Linked DNA regions of Caenorhabditis elegans. The protein of the gene in region 2 interacts with the protein of the main gene of each other region in a pairwise test. Each region holds a gene or a part of one and is shown on either strand. Other genes may lie near its edges. The genes, in order: dve-1, nhr-91, ham-2 and ifbp-1.

What was found.
Region 1: the proteins of nhr-91 (region 2) and dve-1 interact in a two-hybrid assay, tested with the Caenorhabditis elegans proteins (2 studies listed by BioGRID).
Region 3: the proteins of nhr-91 (region 2) and ham-2 interact in a two-hybrid assay, tested with the Caenorhabditis elegans proteins (2 studies listed by BioGRID).
Region 4: the proteins of nhr-91 (region 2) and ifbp-1 interact in a two-hybrid assay, tested with the Caenorhabditis elegans proteins (2 studies listed by BioGRID).

Annotation. Positions count from the first base shown.
Region 1 is NC_003284.9:427,778-435,440, forward strand, and holds the start of dve-1 (Homeobox protein dve-1), read right to left. Parts: upstream 6,023-7,663; 5' UTR 6,017-6,022; coding exon 5,836-6,016; intron 5,724-5,835; exon of another isoform or gene 5,195-5,723; coding exon 5,068-5,194; exon of another isoform or gene 4,374-5,067; coding exon 4,259-4,373; intron 4,207-4,258; coding exon 4,097-4,206; intron 1,729-4,096; coding exon 1,566-1,728; intron 1,516-1,565; coding exon 1,216-1,515; intron 911-1,215; coding exon 763-910; intron 223-762; coding exon 44-222; intron 1-43.
Region 2 is NC_003284.9:15,307,458-15,315,403, reverse strand, and holds nhr-91 (Nuclear hormone receptor family member nhr-91), read right to left. Parts: upstream 6,030-7,946; 5' UTR 6,026-6,029; coding exon 5,865-6,025; intron 5,808-5,864; coding exon 5,702-5,807; intron 5,651-5,701; coding exon 5,562-5,650; intron 5,005-5,561; exon of another isoform or gene 4,711-5,004; intron 4,036-4,710; exon of another isoform or gene 3,901-4,035; intron 2,742-3,900; coding exon 2,646-2,741; intron 2,578-2,645; coding exon 2,525-2,577; intron 2,474-2,524; coding exon 2,316-2,473; intron 2,040-2,315; coding exon 1,636-2,039; intron 1,588-1,635; coding exon 1,336-1,587; intron 1,163-1,335; exon of another isoform or gene 1,094-1,162; intron 1,045-1,093; coding exon 939-1,044; 3' UTR 510-938; downstream 1-509. Other genes in the region: glb-28 (Globin domain-containing protein), read left to right, coding at 1-20, 148-339, 390-420. UniProt on the Caenorhabditis elegans protein: Orphan nuclear receptor.
Region 3 is NC_003284.9:4,552,994-4,559,920, reverse strand, and holds ham-2 (Zinc finger protein ham-2), read right to left. Parts: upstream 5,237-6,927; 5' UTR 5,228-5,236; coding exon 5,068-5,227; intron 4,423-5,067; exon of another isoform or gene 4,279-4,422; intron 3,989-4,278; exon of another isoform or gene 3,547-3,988; intron 3,179-3,546; exon of another isoform or gene 3,040-3,178; intron 2,810-3,039; coding exon 2,636-2,809; intron 2,588-2,635; coding exon 2,316-2,587; intron 2,266-2,315; coding exon 2,083-2,265; intron 1,991-2,082; coding exon 1,847-1,990; intron 1,356-1,846; coding exon 1,110-1,355; 3' UTR 513-1,109; downstream 1-512. UniProt on the Caenorhabditis elegans protein: Probable transcription factor that acts downstream of egl-15, to promote migration of the HSN motor neurons from the tail to the gonad primordium during HSN cell differentiation.
Region 4 is NC_003283.11:13,369,585-13,374,607, forward strand, and holds ifbp-1 (Interferon regulatory factor 2-binding protein 1 & 2 zinc finger domain-containing protein), read right to left. Parts: upstream 3,437-5,023; 5' UTR 3,315-3,436; coding exon 2,983-3,314; intron 2,645-2,982; coding exon 2,407-2,644; intron 2,358-2,406; coding exon 2,141-2,357; intron 1,786-2,140; coding exon 1,364-1,785; intron 1,269-1,363; coding exon 1,188-1,268; intron 1,053-1,187; coding exon 969-1,052; 3' UTR 511-968; downstream 1-510. Other genes in the region: srx-125 (7TM GPCR serpentine receptor class x (Srx) domain-containing protein), read left to right, coding at 93-223, 277-406.

The DNA.
Region 1 (7,663 bases), about 15 Mb from region 2:
TCGAATTCGATAACTAGTAATCAGTATTAATATAGAATATTACCTTCACATTGTGCTGACTAATATGCGGATAATTCTCTCGATAAGCGCAGTTGTTCAAGCATTGTGTGTACTGATCGATTTGCATCCATGTCGGGTGAGGATTCTCTTCGAACCATTTTTCGAGGACGGGTAGCTCGGTGAGTGGGTCGAACATCAGGCGTGAGCGAGCCGCTGAAAACACTAAAACGGAGATTATTTGCTTTATCGTTGAATTTTTTCAAACGTTCCGCGTCAGTGATTTTATCGAAAAATAGAAGTAAAATTCCACCTTAAAGTTTTCTTGTCGAAAAGATAGAGAATTTTTATGCAGTCATTTTTCATATGCATAGCAAACGCAATCTAAGAGCGTTTTAGAGATAGCAACCAATATAGGTTTTCAGACTGAGTATCATGAACATGGCCACCTTCTCGATAAGTTTGAGCCAGTACAAAATCCCTAGAATATTTCTCAAAATCAAGTTTGCAGTTGATTTTCTGTTTTATTTCTGTAAACACAATACCTAGCCTCATTTTTTTTTCCTCAGATCTCAGTGATCGTAATGGTTGTCTGTGCGAAATTCGACGCCCCACATTTCTCCCTTTGTTATGTGTCTTCGCGCACTTTGTGTATGTCTATGTGTGTTTGTGTGTGTGTGCTCGCTTCTAATTTATGAGTTCTTGGTTCAACCCATCTCCCTCTCTTTTCCGTTAGCCTGTCTGTTTTAAAGCTCTTTGTTGTACCTGATGAGTTGGCGTTTTGCATGGAGTTGGTGGATGATGAGTGGGTGCTGAATGCTCCGAGGTCGAGCCCGCTGAGAAGCTTTGGGGAGGTCGAGGACAATGATTCGCGCATTGAGTTTGCCATATCCGGGGAGGATGCAATTGAATCCTGTAGGAAATGTTGCTTGTTTTGGGATGAATAATTTTTAAAGGTGGACCATAATTGTGTCGAAAAATATTTTTAATTGGCGCTCAGCCGACGCTGACAGTTTGGAATAAATTCAGATTTTCGGCCGTAGTGTTAGGTCTTTATAACCTTATCGGTAATATTTAGCAATTTGGGAGATGTTATCTTTAATGTGAATCAGAATCGAAATAGCCGAAAATCCGTTTTTAGCGTGATTTTTCAAAGCTTTTCAGCACGAGCAACGCTAATCAACCTAACTATGGCACAAACAGTCAAACGTAACTTACAATTTCCGGTTCTGGTTTAATATTGATGGAAAACAAAGTATCTTGAATAGTTTCATCTGAATTGCTATGAATCTCATCATCGGCTGGAGATGGCGAGTCGGAGCCGCCGACAATCTTGGTTTCATCCAGTTTGTCGTAAAAATCAAATTTTTGACGTTGTTCTCCAAACAGGGACTGGAGCAAGTTGAGTTGGAATCCCGGGAGCAGCTGCGCCGCTGTCTGAGCTGACGAGACCTGCACTAGGTCTACTGGAGCTAAGGTACGGGAACTCGAGCGTTTTTGTGTGAACCAATTGCAAATCTGGAAATTCATTTGATTAATGGAGTAATATGTAGGCGCATTAAATTCACCTGTTGATAGCTGATCTTGGAATTGTTCTTTCTGAACGGACTCTGATTGAGCTGGCTTAAGTAATTGTTCATTTTTTGTTTAGATGGATTTGCATCGGATTTGAACCATTTATCAAGACGTGGAATTTCGTAAAGAGTGTTGAATCTTTGTACTTGTGTTGGGCTGAAATTAAATACATACATTATTATGTGTACTGAAAGTAATATGAAAGCAGGCGTTTATCTTTCTTGAGAGTGGAATGAAAAGAAAATCATGTAGCGTATTTCTTCTATTTGTATTGCACCCGACTACCTAACTTTGAAACGTTATATCTTAATTCATTTTAAAGAGTATAAATACACTTTAAAGATATACATATATTTTTAACTACGAATCTATAGAAAAATAACTGAAAAAATATTTTGTTAGTTAACAACTTCGAATAGCACAAACGATAACTGAGATATAAACAGTTAAAGTTGAACAATGTGGTACAATACAAATAGAGGAAATACGGTGTAATTACTCGTATACAAGTTTTTTGTAAGGATAGTTTTTAATCATTTTTTACTGACACTTTTTCTCCAATCACGACTCCATTCTGATAGTTATACTGGGTCCCCTTCTTCTTGTTTTTGCGCCCCCCCCCCCCCCCCGGGTAACAGTTTGGATATATCACTGTATGCACACAACGCATTCAATCTCCCTTTTTCTATTCTTTATTACTCTTTACAGAATGCGTCACCGCCGTCCTTTCCCATTTTGCCCTTTATTCTGCTGTTCCCATTCCCTCAGAGCAATATGTACATGTTTTGTATCCTCTCTTGTGTCTGTATGTCACAATAAGATTACTCACAACACAACTCAATTATTTGTACAGTTGGAAATTCGAAAATTTGGATGTGCTTCGATGACTGGAAAACTTGATTTCAGCTTTTTCTTTTTCCTTTTTTCTTCTCGTTGGAAGAAGGAGTTTCAATAAAGGAATATGTGGAAAACAACTGTCTCCATCACTTATAATTTGACTTCTTCCCTTTGTTGTCTCGGGAATGTAGATCAGCAGGCAGTGGCAGTTTCAGAGATGTTTTCACGGGTCAACAAGGGGCCAAAACCAGTCCTGATCTCTTAGCCTCCTTCTCTTGAGAAATTGAGAAAGACACAATGGCATGATGGAGGGCACTTAGAGAACGACCGAATTTGATCGTTTTGTCTTTTGTCTCGTTTTTTTTTTGAAATTAGCTATCTTCATCTCAGTCTAATACTGCTCTCTTATCCGGGCATCAACCGTACTGTCAACCGGCTTAGTGGAATTTATAGTTGAGTTACGAAATAAAACTTGAGTTTTGGTAATTGTTAAATTCTGACAAGCCACATATTTGGTGAATCGTCTCCTAAAAATTTTAGATTTTCAAAAATTTTTGAACTCAACCATTTTAAGTTGGCAAATAATAGAAGGCGTACGGTGTTTTATTATTTTAGCACTAAGAACAAGGAAAATTTTTGGTACTTGTGGATTATTTCACCTCATTTTGAAAAAATAAATTTTAACATTTTAAAATAAAACCGTGTGTAGTTTTTTATTTTTAGGCTTAGAAAAAAAAAAAAAAAAAAAAAAAAAAAAAAAAACGTTTTCTGCTACGCAAATGGGTAATAAAGTAAAAAAAATCAATTTTATATAACGATTTTACAGTTTCAAACAATTTTTTATAGATTAAACTTGTCTTCAAAGCAATTCTTAGATACTTCGGTATAAACTAGTGTTTCTAACTTCATTCACGTATATCTTCATCACTTTGCCTTCCCCTTCCCATTGAACCCATCCCCTACTCTTTTCCAATCCCAAACAATCATCGTTTTCGCACATTGTGTGTGGGGGCTGTCACTAATAAGATGAATGGTGATGATGGGCACCAAAGAAAGAGCAAATGATACAATCTGCCGGCTTGTTAATCCCCGACGCCTATCCATTCTGATTGTTACGACACTTGAAAACAAAAGGCGGGTTTTTGATGAAGACAACCTCAGGAAATTGAAATTCTGACGGGGGGGGGGGGGGAGCTCCAATGAATCCTTGCGGTGGAAATTAAACGAAACTAACTATTTAAGTTAAGTCCTCTCTTTTCAGATGTGAATAAGAATGCACAGACGTGGAAAAGTATATTGTTTATATGATATCCGATAGGAATCGGTTTTACCTGATATCTAGAGACAGCAAAATTCCATCTCCTAAATTTCCCCAAAAATTTATAAACAAAATGGGTGCTCTCTCATAACTTTTCCTTCAACCACAATGTATACACAATCCTGCCTGCAGCTCAAAATTCCTAACCAATCCATAAAGTCTATTTCTACAAACAAGCCGAGAGGGGGCTTAACTCGAGCACCGAATAGCGGCTTAACTTGGCGCTACCCCCCGTGTCACTGCTCTCTGTCTTTTCTCTCAAACTCTGCCCCCCCCCCCCCTCTATTCACATCCAACACGCACAGCGGGATTACGGTGGCTGGTTGGCTGACTGGCTCGCAACTCATTGCATGGGCGGCGCTATCTTACCTTCTACGATCCTCGTTCGTTTCCAGCGTATCAAGCCATTCGTTGACTGCACCAATTTGTTCGGAATTCAAGAGTGTTTCATCTCCGGCAATGATTGTGTTGATGACATCCTGCAATTATCAGAATTGAAATTGAATTATTGAGAAAATAGCAGCTACCCACCTTAACCTGCTGATTATCCACATTTGTTAAAACATTGGGATTTTTGTTTACTGCAGCTTTCAGGAGTTTATTCTTCACCTCACTTATACATTGCACAGAATTTGAATCCGTAGATCTGAAAGAAAATCATGATGATGGTCATAAAATTGTGTGTGTGTATAGGCATATGTGTGCCCAGGGATAGGGCTATAAAAATCGAATTCGGTCCGTGAATGGTTTGTGCTTTCATTGGTCTCATAAAAATTGCGTCGCAGGACAAAGCGCTAAAGCTTTTGCGGTATTTGTGAGTGCCATGTTTGATAGCAAACTAAATGCCAAATATCAATAGAATATGAACGATATAAAGAAATGAAGGAAGCGACAATAATCCGCAAACAGATAGGATAAGTCATACGGGGATCTAGGTAAATAATTTTGTTGGTCCCCGGACCCTCCCGCTCCTTTGACTTTTGATGACTAGAAATGCGCCCCAAAATGTATCTTTTTTCAGCCACCGCCAATTTCAATGAGTTTTCCCCCTTTTTTCCTTCCATCACTTTTTCTCTCCTGTACACATGTCTGAATGTGTTTATATATATGTGTGTGTGTGCGAGGCGCGCATTGTACATACCTATGTTTGCCATTTTCTTTGAGTAGTTCTAAAGAGGATGTATAGGGGTTGTGAGGCGCGATTTTGCTCACCTTTACAGAATGAGCCCCCCGGAGCACACAAACCTCCCGATCGACAGTCGTCTGGTTGGAGCGGGATTGGATGGGATAGATGAGGTTATAGTGCGGAGTGAAACAAGAATACTTCAGGAAACACTTACGGTTTTGACAATATTTTTAGCACTACATGTGATGATATATCTTTGAAGAGGTTTTCCACAGTGTCATCTAAATTTTCAGTAATTTGATCGAATGGCAAGGGTTTCCAGTTGTTTACTTGTATGAGGCCTGAAATTTCTGAATTATCGATTTTCGGACAACAAATGCAAAATATTTTTTTAAAAAACCCTATGCAATTCCCTTCGTTTTCTTTCCGATTTCCCTTTCACATGATTGCATAATCTTTGGGAAAGTAGATACCAAGGAGGCAAAGCCGCCGAGAAAAGAACAGGTTCGACAGTCTGTTTCACTTTCTACTAAGGTGGAAGAAAACGTGAAAGTGAGAAAATGGGAGGAGGGCGCTGAAATCGCAGAAATACCGTTGATCTGGCAAGAGGCGCAGAACAAAACACATGAGTGGGTAGGGTCGTCTTAGCCAAAAAAAAGTGGGTGATCTCGGGGTAGGAGGAAGATGTATATCTTCTTACAGCATAGCGAAGTTGCGCAACCACGTTATGCTTCAATGAGATTGAATTGAAACTGAAAGTAGTTGTCAAGAAAAGGAGATCCCACTCAATACTCAATTACTTACTCGCCTAGAGTAGGGTAAATCTGTCAATCACAAGATAGATCTGTTATCCGTTTTTGGCGAATGAAAAAAAGGAACAAAAATGAAAGAAAAGAAGATAAGGAATGTGTACTACTAATACCAAAATAGTTTAGCTAGTCACGAGGTCTATGGCAATTTTCAAAATGTTTTCTCAACTAACCTCGAGCACTTGTCGACATGCTCGAATGTCCAAGAGCTGCTAGTACAGTTTCGACGAGTTGATTTAATGTAGTGGTCCCTGCGACAATTGCATAAGTGTCTGTGATCATGTGTCCTTCGTTTGAGCATGTCAAGCAATGTTGAGAGCGAACTGTTTCCACGATTACCCTCATTGGGAACATATCTAGCTGAATGAAACTTTATATTTGAAATTTTTAAAATAAAAATGAGAAATCGAGATAAACTAATAGCAGAAGAATCGAAAGAAGAGCCAGAAGATAGTTGGATAGATTTAGCTCTGCGCTCCGATTGGTGTGCGGACTTCCCGCCCACTTTTCATAGATATGGAGGAGGCGGGGCTTTCTATGATGCGGGGAAGATAGATAGAAAAAGAGCGAGTAAGAGAGAGAGAGAGAGCAAGAGCAAAAGAGATATGGTAGTTGTGGCTAGTTGGAGCAAATAAGGTGGAAAAGAAAGCGCGCACCTATTCAACCGTAATTGCGATGGAATAGAGCGGAGAGCAACAAAAATGGAAGAAAGGGAGATAGTGGGATTTGTTAAGGCGATTAATGAAAAAAGAACGGGAGACACCAAGTTTGGATAACAGATTTGCAGTCTGTCCAAGAGGGGGTTAGAAATCTTAAGACACAAATAAAAACAACGAATCAGGCGACATGTACTCATTCTTCTTACTTCTTACTCGCTACTGAAGACAAGTTGAAGATGAGAATGGATGGAAACGAAAACGAAAACAAGATTTGATATGGAAAATCTGAAAGAAGGCGACCACGTCGTCGCCAAGAAGAGATTGAAGACGACGAATGGAGCGAAAGTAGTAAGGAGGGGTTGAGGGGGGGGGAGGTCGGGATCGAGATGGCATAATGTAGGAACCGGATGGAAGAGTCTAAAAGAGGCAGAGAATGCGGAAGATGAGGAGAAATAGGTAGGTGAGGTAGAAAACAGTGGAAAAAAGAAAGATGGGGCTGGTTGCCAACCCTCCCCCATCTGTAGAAACGATCATGTACTACTAGTTCGAGAAAAGCCTCGGGTCGTTGTGGTATGGCATCGTCTTAGTCTTCGTCGTTGAGGGAGGAAAAAAGAAGAATCGAACAAAGACAATCCACTTGTTCAAGATTTTCTCTCTCTCTTCACTCTTCTACCCTATAACCCCGCCTTTCTCTTTTCCTCACCGTCAAATCGAAAATAACGACGCTACACATCGCATAAGGGGCGCATCAGAATTAGAATTGTCCCGATGTGTCAGCAGAGATAAAGGTTAAGTTACTTATAGAAATTTTAAGGATGCGCGTTTCGGGAGAGGAGGGGGTCTGCCAGTTATAGATAAGACAGTGGTTGGAATGCAAGTCACTATTTACTTAGGAGCTCCGAGTGGGTTTGGGATTATTGTCGATAAGATAATGTGTACACTTTTGATACTTCGCCACACCAAAACTCAAATCCGTTTCTAGAAATTTATCTAACAAGGTTTATTGTTAAAATTACTATGAGTCAAAAATCAACAATTGGTATAAAACGTGGTTTTGGAAATATCTAATTTTTCAGAATTTTTGCAAAACTCTGTGAGACTCATTGATTAATCATTGTATTCTACACTTGTATTATCTTGCTCCATCTCCACATAATCAGTTCTAACAAACGAATGTTTGTGCCCCTAAGCCTAGAGGATTTAGTTTAGGTGTCATCGTAGCGGCTAATTGAAACAATTGCAATCTGGAGCAATACTGAAGCAAGGAGAGGGGGTTCGAATAAGCCGGAAAGAGTAATCCCGGTTGCTTGAAGACACCAACCCCGCGGATGGGATTATACAA
Region 2 (7,946 bases):
CACGCGAACTTTAAGATCACGTGAGTTGCACGATTATCACATTAGTGAGATAAGATGTACTTATTCTTTCATGATTTTTCCGGTTTTTTTTTTGAAATAATTTTTTAATATTAATTTACATTAATTTACATTGATCTTTATTTTCAGTGGAAAACATTGGGAAAAATTTGGCGAAAGCTTGCTAACCACCGCCACCGAATGGAATGGTCCGGGGCGTCGTCATAAAGAAACGGTGAAGGCATGGATGGTGATGTCTTCATTTCTAGCAGACCGTCTTGCTCATGCTTCTCGCCTGGCTCACCACTCACCAATGCTAACTCCTCGCGTTCAGCTGTTGACGTAAGTTTCAGAGTTTTCAAATCAAAAATTCCGGAATTTTTATTTTTTAGCGGAAGATCGGCGTTCGAGTTCAATAACTGACTTCGAAATGAAGCAGTTTCAACAACATAACATATGGTTTATGTATCAATTCTGATTCTGTAATCTGTAAAATTTAAAAAAAATGTTAAACCAATAAATTTTTTTCTTTCGTAGAAAAATACACTACAAATTGTTTGAGAGAGTGGGTGAATGAGAAACGAGATAGGAACAGAGAATGGGGAGAGAACACAAAGACATCACGAATTGCACACAAATTATTCCAGAAATTCACAACTTGAAGAAAAGTAGTAGAAAATGATACTGTAGGATCCAAAATCATAGAAACTATTTGATTATGTTTCCGACCACACGTCTATGTTATGATAGATAGATCAAACAGATTGATTGATAGAGACAGAGAAGAAAAAAAAAACGTCAACTTTTTTGGTTTCGTGGGAAGAATTGGAAAGAGGCAGGGGAATTTCAAAAAAAAAAGAAACGAATAATAAGTGGAAAAAATGAACTAAATTATATTGCACAACCGAGAAATAAAGCTGTATTGAGGGTATTGGGGAAGACTACTCGTCGAACACTAGACGTCGCGGATTCTTGCAAAGCAGGAATGGGACGTAGAACATTTTTGAATGAAGCAGCACTGACGAAGCGTTTCGCAAATCCGGAAGCCTGGAAAATTGCGAACGTTTTATCATGGAATGATTATATAATATTAGAGCCTTTTAAAGTAATGTCGTATATCAGAATATGTACGACTATAATTTATTTTGGAATGAGAACCAAAGTCAGTGACTGGACAGGTATCATTAGGAAAACTATTCACTTTTGCCAACTTAGCAAATTTTACGGATATGAATAAGCAATTAAAAATTATGTCAGGTGGGCTTCCAAAGGTGCACATCAACTTATTGAAAACATGCATTTTTTCTAACTCTGATACAATTTTTAATAAAAACTCACCAGTCAAGTATCTGTGCGAGGCTCGTCGTCTGCGCGTCCTCTCCCGGCTGGTGCAGATGAATTTGAAGTGTTTTGACAAAGTGATCCTGAAGCGTGTTGACCTTGTCGATGATACTCCTATCAAGTGTCGAGTCGGCGGAGAGGTGAAGAAGAGTGATAGCTTTGATACAGACGTACGCTTCCGGAGAGACCTTGAGATTTGAGAACGAATGGAGGAGGGTCGTGAAACGGGTGACAAGCGGACCGGCTTCTCTGGAAAATTATCATTTAGAATAAATAAAGTTAAGTTTGATAGTCTACTTCGCCACGTGTTCCAATGGAATTTCTTTGCCGAGCACCAGTGATAATCGATTTTGAAGTAGCCGAAGGTTGACCTGTGGGTTTGTGAATGAGATCTCGTCAGTTTCGTCTATCATTTCTGTTGTGTCGGGGGAGTCCGGAGTAAAGACCGAGCACGCGTAGTATCCAGCAGATAGTAATACTAGCTCGGCCCATCGTTGTGTCAAAAGGTGGGTGTGTGCTTCTACGGGTAGTTCGTCGAAAAACGGCAAGGTTTTCGTCCACTCAACAAGTTGCTCCACAATTTCATCTCCTATTCTGGTTAACCTTTTGCAAGCAGGGGCAATATCGCAGTTTGCAGATGGATTAATTCGGAGTCCTTTTAGGTTGATGAGCCGGTCTAGGCAGTCCATCTCAACCAGTTCCTGTAAAATAGCAAAATCGAATAAGGCAATAATTTGTTTCAAATTTTTAACTGGCTCATAATGCACTAGGGCTGCTAAAGGGCTGCGAGGGGCTCAGCTCCAGCCCCGCATTTAGAGCTGGGGCTGAGCAACGCAGTGCGATATGTAGTTGTTTGGAAGCCCCCGACACTTTCGAGGTTCCGCCGGTCTCGAGCCACTAGCCACCATGGTATGGAAACCCCGAAAGTGTCGGGGGCTGCCAAAAAACTACATATCGCTCTGCAAGTGCTCACTCACCTTTATTAACTTTTTCCCACTTGGAAGGCTCTGAAACGGCCTTCTCTCCTGCTCCTCCACATAATCTTTCGTTTTCCTAATGATACTCCTCCTCTGCTTGTAGTTGCTATAGATACTGTTCCCATTTCTCCCGCCGGGCATGCGATCTTCTCTCACTGCTACAAAAAGACAAACAATTTTGCGGTTATTCTCCGTGCCGAAAAACTAACCTTCGGTTAGCATGCCCTTGCTGATGCACTTTCGGAAACGACAAGATTGACACCTGGAAGGTCAATTACGGTTTATTGTGAACTTTTTTTTTGTTGAATGGAATTTTTCGAATTTACATACCTGTTTCTATTTTGTTTGTCAATTTCACAGCAGTTGTCTTGACTGCAGTGATATACTTTTTTGTTTTGAACGGACCGCTTGAAGAATCCTTTGCACCTGAAATACAGTAGTTGTTGAGCATTTTGAACTAGCTGGGTTTCAAAATTTGAAAATTCAAGGTTACAAGTAACAAGTTACGAGCAGGTGGAGCATATGGAACAAATCAATTGACCAGCGGCCAAATGACAGTTGTTGACATTTCAGAATCGAGAAAAATGAATGCAACAGAACAAAACAAGTGGAAACATTTGGAAAACGAGACGGACGGCGGGAAAAAAAATTCAAAATCAGACGACGTGAGAAGTGGCGGACTAGAAGAACCAGAAGACGGCGGAAAAGAAAATGTGGGGGAGGAAAAGGTGGTGGGTTAAAATGATAGTAAAGTGAAATGCGCAAAAAAAAAAGAGGCAGCAACAGAGACGTCTCTTTTTGGGGTCTTCGAGTGACCTTGTTCTTTAAGATGCCCTTGCAACCTACCCACATTTTCCGTCTGTCATAACTTTTTTCAAGTTGTATGACGAAAAAAGGGGAGAAGTTACTGGTGTCTTGAAAAAAAAACGTGTTGCAATTTTTCTAGCTAATGTGGCATTTTATTTTTTGGACTATTTTTTTGTTTCTACTTTTTGGCTTTCTGAACCAATAGATTATCCGCACGTGGTGCCATGTTGTCCCATTACCGTTTGATCTAGAAAAAATGCGGGAAATTTTTGCCCAAAAAATGTGACGTCAGCACGTTTTTAACCATGCTAAATCAGTTGCTCTGCGTCTCAACTCCCGCATTTTTTGTAGACCTGCGTAGATCAAACCGAAATCAGACACTCTGGCACTAAGTGCATCCGAGGAAATTTTTATCTATGGGTTGCATGATTTATAGGTTGACTGAAATTTTAAGTCAAATTCGAGGCATTCCGCTGTTAGAAAACAAACTATGCCATGCATTTTTTATGCTTAGAAATGGTATTTTATTCCGATTAAAAATGTAAAACCGTTCCACACAATTATAAGCATTAAAACTTAAGCACAAAAAAAAGTTACGTGAGCCTATACAGAAATAAAAATAAGTTTTTTTTATTATTTTCGTGTTAAAACTTAAATTTCTAAATAAATTTAAGAAACAGCAAGGCAGCTTAAAAGTTTTGAAAATAGAAAATATTCTAAATTAAAATTTTAAAAAACTCTACGAAAACTGTGCAAAAGGTCAACTTAAAAGACAAAAATCACTTTAAATTGGGTCGTGGTCATCAGAAATGAGAGGTGGGGCAGCGAGTAAGATGGGGAGGAGCGGCCCCGAAAAGTAGAGGTGACGAGAAGAGGTACGCAAATGGCACCAGTTGAACCGACCTTGTCCGACGCGATTCCCTAACAAAACCTTGTCGACCTCCGACATTTTTTTCCGGAGAGACAATATGTCCGATTGATAATGATATAGACTAATATGTATTACTTGAACTTTCTCTAACTGAGCTGTCGATTACTGAAACCTACTTTGATCGTTATCCGAGTGTCCTCTGTACTTTGAGTACGGTGTGGTACACTGATTGTTATCTTAGGAAGGCCGTTCTGAACTTTCGGGGGAACTTTCGCAGCTCTCCCGTTTTTGTGAAATAGCTTGATTGTTATCGTAAGTGCGGGTCAATTGCGTTTTTTTTTATTCAGATAATTATTTCGACGGACATCAACTAAAAATCACAGTTCTTTACAACAGTACAGTCAAATAGAAATATTTACAGCAAGCTGAGATGAAATATTTACAATGAGCGCCTATAATTTTGGGAACGTTTATGCTGTAAATGGAAAAATTGTGAGTTAAAAAAATATTTTTTTAAGGGTTTATGATTTAGGGTTTATTCAGATAGTATCACTTTTATAGTAACACATTGAAAAAAAAAGAAACAAGTTCTTATGGTGCGTGTGACCTAGAGAAAACCGTCTAAACCGATTCAAAGTGCACTTCCACTACCGACTTCACCTCCTTCCAAACCGAGGGTCAACCGGGAGGCGAGAAGGGCGCTGTAGTGAGAAACGAATGGTCGAGGTGCGTGACACATTTGGCCGGCCGTCGCCCTTCGCAACATTTCACTGACTGGGTGTTCGGCGGTGCGTCGTGTCATGCTGAAGGCCTTGACCATCATCGCGGATTCTGAAGGCCGCAAAATCTGACTGCCCCCCCCCCCCTCCAGCACCCGAGGCGGACGTGTGTCTACGTTGACGACGACGGCGGCGACGGCGTCAGCATCCCCTCCCCAGCATCGGATGAAAATGTAGCGCACTGGTGCTGACAACTGGACTTTCACTGGTGTGGTGCCCCCCACCACCACTTTCGCTTTCCCGATCCGATCACTAATTCCGTTAATAGCTCTCCCCCTTCTTCTCTCCAGACAGTTTTTATGTTGATCCTGGAAGAGGGCGAGCGGAACAGATTTCTGACCACCCGGGAAAAGAAAAATAACAATATGAAAACTTTCGATAGAAAACAAGATATAAGCAAAGGGAAGAAAGTGAAGTGAAACTAAATTAAATTATGAAATCGGCATGGATATTTATATTAGAGTAATTTTCAAAGCATCACTATTTCAAAGCATCAAACAGTAAAAACACTTGCCTAATTAATTAATTACAGAGATACAGATTGAAAGATAATTCCAGATGTATATTTTGAAACAAAAAATTTGGTTAATTATGTAGTGCTGAAATAGTATTATATGGCATCCTATTAACATCAATGTCTTAATTGGAAGTACCACAATTCAAAACAGAGGTCAGAAAACAGCAGAAACTGCGTAAATTTCAAAATACATGAAAAAAGTTTTTTGTTGTTGCTCGAAGTATGAACTTCCCCCCCCCCCCTCCGTATTTTTAATATCTAAATGCACATACCCTTCACAGGTGGCAGCACCGTAATGTAGACCGGTTGACTTGTCACCACATACCGAGCACAGCTTGCTGCTGGATTTTGAAACGGCATTCTGTAATTGTTCTACTACATAATTTCAATAATTTTCATTCAGTTCGCATACCGAAGTACTGTCTGTTGTTGGAGTTCCAAGAATAGAGAATAGAACTTTGTTTGCTGCAGAAGTGGAGTCGTCGGTTTCAGAGTTTGGGCTTTCGGTTTGACTGAAGCTGAAAATTTAAAATTTTGAAACTAAGCTCTCCACATCTTCAGGAAAATGCAATTACCTTGGAGTCATCGAGTCTCTCATATCCAATTTCATTGGCGGCACCAGTGTGGATGCCAAATGTGTCAGGTAGAACTGCAACAAGTTGGTCTGTGCCGCGAGAGCCAAGTTGTCATGGTCAAAAACAGGTGGCGTCTCAGATGTCGAGTCCGCAACGTCCATCGCACTGAAAGAGGCTCATTAATCAGAGGTCATTAATGTATGCAGATGGAGCAGGCAACATACGGTAGGGACAGTATAATGGGGTATGTAAATGGGAGGGGGAGCAAAGAAGAACAATTGGTTTAGACTTGTAGATGTCGTGAAAATGCGATAATATTTTTGTTACCCAGTTTTTGAGCGATTGTATAGTAATCAGAACGGAAAAGAAGATAGGAAATGAGCTCCCTCGTGTGAATAAATGTATTATCAAGACCGAACAAAGTCAGAATAATTGTATAGTTGTTTTGAAGCAAAAAAAAAGTAAAATTGTGTGTTCGAAAGAGGTACAAAATCTTCCTCACTTCTGAGTCAGAATCGCAGTGTACAAAAAGCGCGGATGGTAGGGCCGGTCGAGTTTATCGAAGTGAGATCAGAGTGTGCAAAAGAGCATTTCAAATGACGGGACGGTGGAAGGGGGGGGGGGGGGGTTCGTCTACCAATTTTCAAGGTCACGCATTTGGCGGCGGAGCTCGTTGAGAGCCAAATGGCAGCATTTGGACGTCACCGCCTGGTACTGAGAGCCGTTGCCGGGTGGGTTGAGAAGGTACAAAACTGTAGTGGTAGGTTTATGAGAATAAAAATAACAATAGAGTTTTTAACATTAAAAAGTTACTTGTTTGACAAATCAGTTTTGCTACAATTAAAAAGAATCAATTATTGTTCCTAAACATTCCATGAACAGAAAAACAGATTTTACCAATTTAACTTGCAAGATACTTTACGGTTATTTGCAAGAATTTGCTCAATTTGAAAATAGAGAAAAAGCTTATCAAACTTATGTTCCTATAGTATTGAAACTAATCATATTATTAATATCTTGAAACCAAACCTATATATCTGCTGTATACAAATAGTTGTTACAAAGGAATATACAGTGAGGTTTAAAAAAAAATTATTCCAAAGTGATACAGTTTTTCTATTGTCCGAAATAGTACATACCGGTTTGGTTTGAGCCTAAAAAACGTGGTAATCATCATTTTGACAGTTATTGAGTTAGTTTCTAGAAAAATAGCGATTCTCAACGATGGCGGAAATGCAACAGATATAGAAAATAAATGAAACATGTTAATCATAAAAGTGATAAGCTATCGACCAGACTTTTTCAACTAGTTTGCTAGTTTCAAAACTTGTAACACATTGTTGCTACATCGCTGATCCAGTAACCAGGATACTAATCGAACAAAAATGAAAATGCGAGAAAGAAAAACGAAACGCAAGGCGGTTGAGGAGGAGAGGAGGATAATTCAAGAAAGTACAAAGTGAGAAAGTTAAACTGTAGGTCGGTAGGTCACACACACATTCACACAACAATCGAGAGAGAGACGATGGTAAGCCGGAATGGATGAAGGATGGAGGGAGGGGGGGGGGGGGGGACAGCGCGCGGATATTGGCGCAAAAGCAAAATTGGGTGAAAGATGCATGGAGGGCGAACGAAATTTTGTGGGTCAGACCTTGAAATTCGTGAAAACCGCGTACATTCAATCGGGCCTATTGCCGGTCAAACGAGAGTGACAGTAGGTCTCTCCTCCTATTGCCCCTGCCTTCCACCGGCGCCTCTTCTTGTCTCCATTTCCTTTCACTGGACGATCTCATAAGGTTATTTTCAAAGTGCACATAAAATGGGGAAAGAGGAGGAGGGATTGGTGAGCGGGAGGGAGAAGCTGTGGGGGGGGGGGGGGGTATAGGCGGATGATGAAGCAAAGGGTACGTGGATGAATATGAGTCTTTTCTCTCTATGAGCAGCACACACGAATTCAAATTTAAAGGTGAGAGGGTCGCTGCTATACACATGAGTGATTACAAAGCCCAGAGAGTGTTGGATACTAATCAGGGTGCAGCACGAGCAACCGTGGTGGCTAATCTTATCGTGGTTAGGAGGAAA
Region 3 (6,927 bases), about 11 Mb from region 2:
CACAAAAAATTATCTAAATATTAATTCATTTTCGAGAAATATTTTAAGCATCTATTCTGCAATAACATAGATTTGACTATTTTTGGAGTTTTATATGGTTTTAGAATACTTTAAATACACTCCTGAGAAATTTTGAATAACAATTGAAGCCAAACACAAGTTCGTAAGTATTTCATCTAGCAATTTTTCGTTTTGATGTAAGAAAACGAAAGCTGCAAAAAGGGAATCAACTAGTACGAAATTTCTTGAAGCTGAAGTTTTAGACAATCGACTGAGTACATCAGGAAGAAATCAGAAATGAATCATGCTCAACCTTTCACTATGCTGATTGTGACGTCTAGTGGGTCGAAAAGGTAAAAATGAATTTTCACATCGCTTCACCTGAAAGCACATTACCCTCTGAAACGGGTTCAGTTTTGCATTCAAACAAAATGATGTTTTATGCGAGGATAACATCATCTTGTGAGAGTTTCGTTTTTGCTAGTTTTTTGTATGGCTTATTACTTCCTGCATTTTGAACTTTGAAAATTATTTATCACAAATATAATGAAATGAAATCATTGAGGGAAGGAAAAAGTCAAGGCGGGAAAAAAGGGTAATGCTATAAAAGTCAAGAAAAGGACCAGAAGAAATAAAAAAGGAAACATTTAGAACAATGAAGTAATGTAAAGGACGTTCTAGGTAAATCGCTGAGTGCATTTAAGGCTACGTTTTATTGAAGCTATTGCAACAAAAAAGTAAAGTAGATTCGGATTGTTTGGAAAATGTCCACCAGTTTCTAAGATTGCGGTAAATACAATTGTCAGGAATGAGAGCACTCTGATTTTTTTTGGAAGTTTGAAATATTTGGATGCAAAGATAAGAAGTAGCTACGAGAATAGGCATTATGTACAAAGATATAAACGACAATTAGTTTAAAAGCCAACCAAAACCGCTTTAAAAGCTGTTGGTTCTTTGATTCAGAGTATTTCGGAAATTGCTCAAAGGATTGTTGTATTTCAATGGCTCAAAATGCTGATTAGAAACAAGGAATGAAAATGACTACGTGGTTCAACTAGATTTGATGACACCATCAAAATCGGAAATAAAGAAATTGAAATCGTTTGGATCTAGGGAACCACTGAGGGACGGTTCATGTGAATCAAATTGTTCAACAACATTCTCATCGCAGGATTTTGAAATAGATTGTTCGGCCCTGGAGATGGCATAGGCATCATCGGAGGAGGCAGCATCACGGGTGGCATCGGATTCGGTTGAATTTTGCGGAGGAAATCCACTTGAACTTGCAACTCTCTAATGGTCTTTTCATAGGCACGACATTTGTCCTCAACTGCAACAAGCTTCCCTCTGGCTACCTGAAACATCATAAACTTATGTAAATTATTAAAAATATCAGTGGGTGGGGGATAACTCAGTCGGTAGTGGTGGCCGCTGAAGAACTACAGGTCACGAGTTTTTACAGTGCGCGCGCTTCTTGTAGGACACCCCTAAATTTGTGAAGCATTGGAATACATACAATTCTTCAGGAAAATTTTTTGTGATATTTGGAATCGAGTGTGTCAAAAAACCTCGAATCCGTTTTCATAAATTTATCATCACAATTGAAAGCACCCGTTTTGCTATAGGACCCTGAGATTTTAACCAGCTGAAACCTAGCGTGAACTTGAAAGTGGAGCAGTCCATGACTGGATTATCAAACTTAACCTAAAGACTAATCATATCACCAGAAGTACTGTACCTAATTCCCAGATTCTCTTCACATAGCGCTCGCAAAATGGATGGTTTTTTATTTTTTTTTTTCATATTTTAAATTATAATTCAAAACCATTTAAGACAACTTCCTAACCTGACAATCAAAGCATTTCAAACTTTCGCCCGAATGACTAGACGATCCACCACTGATGTGAGAATCCGAAACCGTTGGAGAAGGCTGATCATGGGAAATGTGGATGTTTTTGTCATCAATCGTCATTTTCAATGGTGGTTCGCCCTGAAAATTTTGAAAGTTTCATAATATGACATATTAAAGTTTAATGGGGTGAAAAACAAATTTTCCTCAAAATTTCAATAAGTTTTCCTTACATCATCGCCTTCCACATCAATATCAGCATCGTGTTCCAGTTCTCTTTTGAAAGTTGGTTCAGTCTTGACAATGACTGACCGAGGGCTGACATCACTGCTTTCCACTTCAAATTTGATGTCTTCTTCAGTTGTCTGCACTTCTAAGTCGTCATAATCGCTAATATTAGAAGACTGGATGGAATCCTTAAAATGTAATACATTTGAATTCAAAACATCAAAGAGTTGTAACGTACTTTGGACGGTGTTTGTTGCGCTGCCAGATTAAGGGCCGCCGTGTTGATGGGATTGTTGGCAAGCCACGCTGAGAGGAACTGTGAAGGACCCATGTTAGAAAGATCCAGGGGGAACATCGATTTGGAGTCGGGGCTTTTGAGCAGTGTCGGGAAAATGGATCCAATGTTGTTATTGTTTGCAGCAACTTGTAACATACGCTTTTGCATCAACAAATCAGGCGAGAAGGGTGGAGACTGACGCGGGGAGCCCGACTCGGATGTGCTATCTACAACTGCAAATTTGTATTAATGGATTTCAAAATTTGTGGGTAGATCTTTACCATCTGAACTCTTAGCTAAAACAGCCGCTTCCCCCGGTGTCCCATTTTTCAGCATACTCTGCATATGGATGTGAAGACTTGTTTTGTCGGGAAAAGCCCAATTGCAACACCGACACATAAACATTCGGGTAATGTTGTGTACTCGATACATGTGACTGCGTAGTGTATCGTTGCCTGCAAAATTGTTTCTTAAGGTTTCCTAATGACTGAACAGTGAGAGCAGTGCCGGCTCATTTCGCACTCATTTTATTATGGTAATTATCAAATACTATTTGAACCCTTCTCCAGCTTTTGAATTCATGTCTCAATGATCTAAATATTTGTCGAAAGTAACATGTAAATGGCTATTTGCCAACCCCAACTGCATTGCTATTTCCATATTCCACTTAATTGCCATTCTTTGTGCCACCGAGCCTAACTGTCTATCAATCAAATGAAATTCGCAACATTGGGACACTATACGCGCGCCCGTAAAGGCATGTTAGGTGCCAATGTGACGAATGTTCTACGACGACCCCCCTCATTTGCATGTTTGTCTGAATTTGAAAATACGCACTATAGAAAATCTATAGAATAGCGGATCTTGCCTACCGACAAAGCAGTAACACAAAAAAAAACGACAAACGCAGGGGTCAGGCTGTAAAACATTTTCATGTTATGTTTCGGTATTCTACTGGTTGATCCGCTTATTGTTGGATTGCGCACGAGTAATATAACAAATCCTGTTGATCTGCCTGCTAACATGCCGCCGTATGGATTCCACGTATAGGCGAGCGGTGAAGTAAGGTGTGAAAAAAGCTGGGTGCTTTGGCCGAAAGTTTCTTGAACGACCCCCATGCTCAGCGAACCGTAACAAATGATTGACGGCGAGTGAACAACCAATAAATTGTAATGTTGGAAAGGTGGTAGAAAAAGAAGAGGTTGCAATTTTTGTTGCGGAAGATGGGGAAAGAAGACAATCGGTGGTTTTTTTTTTACTTTGCCCGCGCGCTGGCCCTATTCTTCGCTCTCAAGCTCACTTAGCGACAGTGGCGTGCCAACAATTAGCTGATGGATGGTCATCAAATGACTGACCTTGGAGGTTCATCCTACCTTCCATTCCAAGAAAAGAAACCATTAAGTAATACATACATACCGTCGGTTATTTATGCCTCTCGCTCTCTTAGGAAGCCGCTCGGGATGGAAAGATGGGGCAATTAGACAATGCAAATAGCAGACGTGTTATTGTAAAACTGTGGCGTAATATGGTCAGAGGTGTCTTTTCAAAAGATTCTTGCACAAATATTAGAGTCAATTTGTTATTATTTAATACATGATACTGCTTTCCATTATAGCTGGAGACGCTCCAGTGGGAAATTGAAAAAAAATAACGCCGAATTTGCCAAACGACGCTACAAAAATTTTTTGAAATTTTTAATTTTGTTTTTAAAATTGGTAATTACTTTTTTGAAAGTCGTCGATAAACAGTCGCCTACATATTTTTCAAATATAAATATTCAAACATTGTAGAGATCCGAACATGCGGCATTGCTATAGTTTTCTCGAAAAGTGGCAAGAACACAGTTATTGCCACTTTTTGACTGTCAATAATGTTGGTCATTTTGGCTCTATATAAGTGGATGTTAACCATTTCCCCACTGGCACTACTCCACCTTTAAACTTTTTGCTACTAGTCCAAAAGTGCACATGGTTGTTTTAAAAGCTTAACAGATATTACTAAATAGATACTCCTAATTGACAGTCGGAGCTATCTCGGTATTTGCACACCTCCTCATTCAGTTTGCCATGCCATATAGATGTCTACAATTAAGAATACAGTAGTAGTTGGAAAGGGTGTCAATATTTAGATAACCAATGTAATTTTTTGGCGGAAAGAAGGAGACTGTATCAACCTTGTTTGACACATGCCCAATATAGCCACGTGCTAATCGGAGGGTGTGAGTTGAGTTTAAGCTTGTCAGTAAACAATGCCACTGAGCTTTCGCGCATTTCAGATTATGGAGACTTCCGATCAAATAAATGTATTGGGAGGGAGATTAGAAAAATGTAGAAATGCAATAAACTGGTAGAAGACAGAAACTAAATGCAGCAGGAAATAGAACATTCGTTCAGAATTTTAATTCAATTTTGAAAAAATAAATTAGAAAGTTAAACATCACCTAGAACCCATAATTTTTTATTTTTAGATTTTTAGATCAATTTTAAATTTTCAATAGAATAAGTTCCGTACAATTCAACAATAGCTATGTTCTCGAGTTAAGTTTCCCTCTCTTTTTTCTTATTATCATATGATAAAACATGATACAAAACTGTGAAAACATCAATAGCGGCATAAATTGTTTCGCTCTTTCTCCCCTATTGTTAGTCAAGCTCCTGCTACTCTGATTCATCTATTTCTCTTTTTTTTCTCAAACTTGCATTTTCAAACTTACTTGGAATTTCGTTGTTGCAAGTGGTACAGGTGTAGCTTTTAAAGTGAGCCTGCATCCGGTGACGACTCAGAGACGAACTGTGGCAGAATACTTTTTGGCAAATCGAGCAGGGAAATGAGCCTTTCAAATCGGGACGTTTTAGCTCTGCACGATAGGGCATTGTCTAAAAATGTTTTTGTTATTTGATGAAGCTTTTAGAAAATGGTGCTGAAATTTTCACAAAATCGAATTTGAAAGGAAACACTAACAAGGAAGAAGAAAAAAACGGTGGACAGTTTGAATGAAAGAGCGCTCATAGATGAACAAGTAGGATGGGCTACCAAGACCTCCACTACTTGAAAAGTTTTGCGTACAACACTCGAAAAGGTATTCAGACGCAGCTCTTCTCTCCGGAGACAAGAAGGTCGTCGCCGGCTGACACCAACCAGGTATTTACACCCTCACTTGATACTGTTTAAAAGTAGCGAAAAAGCATACATAGCAGCGATTGGACAATGCATTACAGTAGCTCAAGTATGGCGGGGAAGGTAAGAGTGCTCGAGAGGAGGAAGTGAGAAAATAACAGAACATTCAAAATCGAAATTTGTCACACGGCTTCTGCAATCTTAAAATGAATACTACAGTAATCCGGTGACCTGTGCTCTTGGACTAACAAAATGGCAAGCAGTAGTGCAAGAACGAGCTGAAGGCTATGACTCCCCCCGCCTACCCGATTTTTGGAGGCGGGGCATACCATGCAGAATAGAGATAGTGAGCGACGGGACGCACGGGGTGAGGGGAATGGCATCAAGCACAGTCGGGATAGTAAGTGGCAACAATTTTGGCTAGCAATTGCGAGTTGATTAGCTTTCTCAATTTTGAAAAAAAAAAGTTGGAAGCGAGTCTTAGATAGAAGCACGATGCTCTTAGGAACAGATGTGGGCAAGCTGTTCAAGCTTTTTTTTAGTATAGAACACAAGCGAATAACAGTTGGGAAACTTCTACCAAACACGGCTGACCCAAAAAAAAATAGAATGACGCGAGGGATACACCAAAAAAGCCCTCAAACCATAGACAGCATGATTGCTTGAGTTGAGGATTGCGCGCATCTTCGATTCTCGTGTTCTTTTTTCTTATTGGACGACCACAACAAAACCAGTTTTGTAAAATTGATTCGGGTTGCGCAATGCTAGAATAAACTATCCAACATCGCTATTATATTCGAATTTTTGTCTCTCTCTCGCTCCCGCTCCCCCTCTCTTCTGACTGCCATTCGACCCCATAATCACACAATGCTTTGAGGCCGGTTTTCTCGATCCGCATCAACAAGTTCAACTATCTCTATTCAATGTGCTATTTTAATTGGGCACACACTACCAAAATTTTGAAAATGTTGAGTATGACTGTTGAGTTTCTATCTATCTGTATTATTTTTTTGGGCCTACACACGCCGCAGCAACTACAGTAATTGTAGAGCGGTGACGGATAAGAGTGTGAATCTTACCCCGTTGAGATTCTCGGCACGAACAGGGATTGGCCTTGGCCGTGTGTCCAGGCGCTCGTATAATAAGGATTCACCTCCTCCCGCGTACAGGTCGCGTTCCTTTTCTTGACGGCTACATAATCAGTAGCTATCATAGCACATCTTGCCTTTTCCCGCCAAATGTCTATCTGGTATATATCTCCGAGAGAAAAGAAACAAGAGGCGAGTAAGGTAATGGAGATATAGCGAATGGATAAGAAAACTGTTCCATATACTACATCAAAAGACAGACAGGTGAACGCAAAGTGACAAGAGGTCTAGGTGGGCAAGTAGGAGGAACATATGAGAAAAAAGGGAAATGGAAATGAACATTTTTTAGAAGTTTTCAATTTTAGCAG
Region 4 (5,023 bases), on a different chromosome or scaffold from region 2:
TCAACTTTTGTTTATTCTCGAGAACAAATACATAAACAATTTTCATCTTCACATGAATACTTTTACCGGAATCTCCTTTTTCCATATTTCAGAGTGTGCTGCAAGACACACTTCACTTGATCGACATGATCAATTGCACAATACTCTTCAAACTCAATTCAGCAATTTGGTATCAGTTCATTTTTCTGTCCGTCAGTTTTCTATCGATTCATGCGCTGGACGGGTGAGTGGACGTTGGTCGAACGTGTTGATAAGAGTTTCCGGAAACATTTACAGAAGCGTCATGCTATATTTCCATACTGAGATACATCCGCAATGGTGTCGCAGATTGTTGAAGCCCAAATCGAGGACTGGAACTATTTTTGTGAACAGATCTAAAATATCTTCCTTCCATCCTTCTGATTAATTCTAATCATTCGAAGTTTTGTAGAATTTATACCGAGTTTTCACATTGAATTCTTGGAATTCGTGAGAGAATATGTGAAAATTTGCAATTTCTCAAACTATATCTTAAGTTTTCTGATCAAAGCTTTATTCAATTAATGAAAAAATAAACTGAAAGCTTTGGTGGGATTGTTGTTTTTTGATTTGTTTGGCAGTTGAATTTTCAATGTTCCAGGGGAGAATGGACTGGGGATAAGGTACGAACATTACAAAGTTTTTGGACTGAAAAAAGAAAAGAAACCGTAAATCCCAAAAGCAGTGAAAAGCGTAATCGAGGAAAAGGGAAATGAGAAAGGAAAAAAATCTCAAGATTTATTACCAAATGTCCCTTGAAATCACACCGTAGTTGGGACCGAAGAGAGAGAGAGAGAAAGAAAACTTGGAAAGGGGGAAAAAGTAGAGATCGTGGTGAAGCAGACAAAAGCATTGAGTGCAGCTTTGAACGGTTTCAGTGGGACTGAGAAAAAAGAGAGATTGAAAGAAAAAATATTTGTGCCTAATGTGCTCCGTGACGTCACAGGTTATCAGTTTTGTGGTGACGTGGCGGCAGATGTGGAAGAAGCCGCAGAAGTTGTTGTGGAGGCTGGAGATGTTTGATTGGCGCCGTTCTGAAAATTAATTCATTCAGAAAATGAAAAAAATCAGTTTAAATAATAGATGTTAGGGGCATGCAACATATTTATTTGAATCCGATAATCAATTTTTTGCATGCTAGTCAATGTCATATGTTAGTAATCACTTACACATGAGGTAGAAGTGTTAATTGTGGATCGTGTAAGAGTGCGATGAGGGTGGGCTCTTTGAGCATTTTGTCTCCGTCTCAACTGAAAACCATGCAAAATGCGGGTGATTTAGTTCCAAACATAAATAACAAAATTGGACAAACAAATTAGTTTCACACAATCTGATAAGGGCATACCTGTGCAGCTGCCGCGGCTGCCGCGGCGAGAGTCGCTGCGTTGGCACCCATCGGTGGAGCAAGACCGTGAGCTTCTCGGGTTCTCTTGAACTCGTCATACTCGTCACCGAGGATTTGTGCAATTTCTCCTTGCATGAATGCCCATGGCATTGCTGATCCGACTAATGGACATTTATCGCCTGATGGGCAGTACATATCACTGCTCTTGCATTGATCCTTGATGCTGCTCCGCGAGCATGGGAAGCAAAACTTGTGAATGCTGACTGTTGGGCATTGTACAAAGTGGGTGTCTTCTAGACGTTCATTGCACAGTGTACATCTCAAAACTCTCTCAATTGGGGCGATCCCTCTCCGATCCTTAACTCCCGGATGGTCTGGTGAATGAGTTGAGGTTGGCGAGGCAGTTGTCGTTTGGGCATCGCCTGAAAAATAGAAGATGATGATGATGAGGGGGTGATGACCCTGGGTGCCAGGCGCCGACAACGACGCCACAACCAACTACACTACCATCCTCTAAAACCGGTTCCGTTTTCAAAGTGTTGACCCCATATCTAGCCCTTTATTTCTCTCGAGGTCACTCATTCAACTCGCTACTCTTTTCTTCTAATTCTTCTAAATTCGGCTGGTTTTCTGTCGGGTCTATCGGTATTACGCAATTCGAGAGGGTGACAGAGAGACGATACACGGGCTAATCGGAGAGAGAGAAGGGGGCACTACTACTTTACGCAACAACCGGTTTTTTGGGACGATGTCAATTTTAAATTCTAACTGACATACCTCTCTGCACTTTTCCATATATTTCAGGCTTCTGCTCTTCGTCAGATTCACGTTTTCTTGGATTTGAATAAGTTGTGCTTGGAAGCATGCTCATCATGAATGGAGCCAAGAGATGAGAATTTGGGCCCAAGCTTCGAAGAGACTGTTGAATAAGATCGTCAACCGCCCGAGGATTGGCTTGTGTCATTTGCAGAAGTCGTTGATGGGTCAGAACTTGCTGAAAATAAATTTGTAAACTATTGCAGTTTTCAATTTTATATGTTTACCTCCAAGTTGTTCATAGTTGGCACATGGAATGGGGACGTGGGAAGTACCGTTGGCTGAGGTGTCCTTTGTGGGCTTATCCTTCCGATTCCATTAGCAGAAGTGACTGGTAATGTTTGAAGGGGTTGTTGTTGTGTAAGTGTAATATCTCGGAGGGATGTCTTTGCATTCTGTGGATCACTGATTCCAACTCCTTGGAGTTTCTTTTGTTGGCGTGTTTCTTCAAGTACGAGTTCAATTCTGAAACAGAAAAAGATATTTGGTGACAAAAAACAAAAAAAGTTCAATTGGTCTTGAAACCTTTTTAAAACTATAAGATCGTGAAGTCCTGCAATTTATAAAAAATTTCGGCAGAAAAATCGTCAAAAAAATATGTTCTTTTTCTAATTTTTTTCAAAAAAAAAATTCTTTAAAAACTTTAGGAAATCTATTACAGAACAAACTTTTAGCTTGCAGTCTTATAAGAAAAAGGGTGTCAAATTTTCATGTCCTGTATCAATATAAGAAAACTTGTGACTTTCACTTTGGAAAATTTTAAAATCGAAAGGAATTTTCATCATCATTATTTCCAAACAAACCTGTCTGATCCTTCATAATTGACGCATCCTCTGCAAACTGGCTCAATATAATCATTTATGATTGCCCACGGCCAGCGTGGCAAATCACACAGGTAACATTGTTGTCTTGGTAATTTCTCATTTGAATTATTATTCGCCTTCATTCCAGCAGTTGTTGCAGTTAGAAGTGAAGCAGAACCGTTGACAGAGGCCAATGAGACGGCGTTCGGAGCCGCGAGCATCTGGAGTGATAGAGAATAATCGACAGTATTATTGTTGTTAATTATAGAAGGTGTTGGAGAAAGAGACATCGATGCCTGCAGAAGAGCAGCCGACTCAGCGAACGAGCCCATTTCCACGAGAGGAATGATTGCAAGAATGATGGGGTAGAGGAATAGGAATGGCGCGTTTCAAGTTCGTGATGGAAGAGAGGGAGAAATTCTAGAGATAAGAAAGATTCCTGACCGAGACGAATAGGGTCGAGAGGTGAAAAAACTAGGCATGGTTTTTTAGTGATAAAAGAAGAAAAGCCGGCAGCTGATAACAGAACGCTGATGCTCTGGTTGCACACAAACAGGGTTGTTCCATGACTTGGTAAACTATTAGGGTAATCGAATATTTTTTTGTATTATTTCAAATAAACAATGGAAAATATCAAAACCATGAGCATGCGTGGGTCCGAACTATTACAGCGATGTGTAACACTTTTTTTGGATGACGAAGAACTCTATGAATAATCGACGAATAGAAGGAGACAGTAAGGGGCGAAGCACTGAGTGACGCATTGAGCACATTGTATTACTATAGTTGTGTACAAAGAATTGGCAAAGAAAAGCTGCAGGAGAAAAAATAAAAAGAAAAAGAGGTGGGTTCCGAGTCTTCGACCTCTCCTCATTCATATTCCACAAGACGTATGGATAGTGCATATCATTAGCATCGGATCTGCATCTTAATAAAGGAATTGGAATGGAAGAAGGCAACTCAAAATTGGCTCCGAAAATGCAAAAATGAGGAGACTCCCTCTGTTTTTGAGACCTTCAAATGTTTTGTTGGGGGAATAACTATTATCAAAAGTGATCAAAATTTCTGACTTATCACAGTTGCACAAAACATCAATTTGCTCAATTTTCAGATCAACATGTTCCTGTTTCTAGATTTTAGATGTTTTGTTATTTGTTATCAGTTCTAGATTTTCCTAGACGCTATAATGGCTAATTGTCAACAAGGCTTGAAAGGTCACTAAACCCCTCCTTATTGGAGAAAAACCCTTCCCAACAACTGATAAGCGGTACGAAGACCAAAGTAGAGGTGTGTGATTTCATTTTGAAAAGATAGAAACACAAGTGAAAGTCGAATTGGCGAGTCATGAGAATAAGTGAGAGAAACCTTCCGATAAGGCCATCCATAGATGTGCTAGGCCGACCAATATTTATTTGGAGCATAGTTCATTGATACTGAAAGCTCAAGAAAAACTATATGAAAGAAATATGGAGATTAGATCTCTCTCTGTGACATGGTGCACCACGTTGCACAATGGGGAAGAAAACGTGGATGTTTGGATGAAAGGAAAATGAAGAGAAATGGGAAGAAATGCAAATTTCATGTTGGCACAATAGATATGCAAAATAAATGGGGGGAAGAAGAATTCTCGATAAGTGCCTTTAACTGAAAAAAAAGATGATTCAGAAAGAATTATCATATTGTTTTAGAAAATTATGGATCTAAAAATGTAGAATAAACAATGTGTAATTGCACTACTGATATTTTGAACAAAAAACCTAAACCAAGATAATTTTGTAAACAACTTTGTTTCAACTCGGGGCTTTGAGCAGAGCATTTGCACATTTACTTTTTTTCAAGCTTGAGAAGGTGCTGTTAAACTATTCATGATTTTAAGCTGATAGGACTTTTCATCAGTATCCAAACAAAAAGAGCCGATCTTCCCACATTCGTATTTATAACTTTTAGCAGGAGTTTAAAATTCAAAAACGGGGTGCAAAGCGAAGTGACGGTCAGAAAACAAGAACAATAAAGAGGGTAGAGAAAGAAAAAAACACAAAAA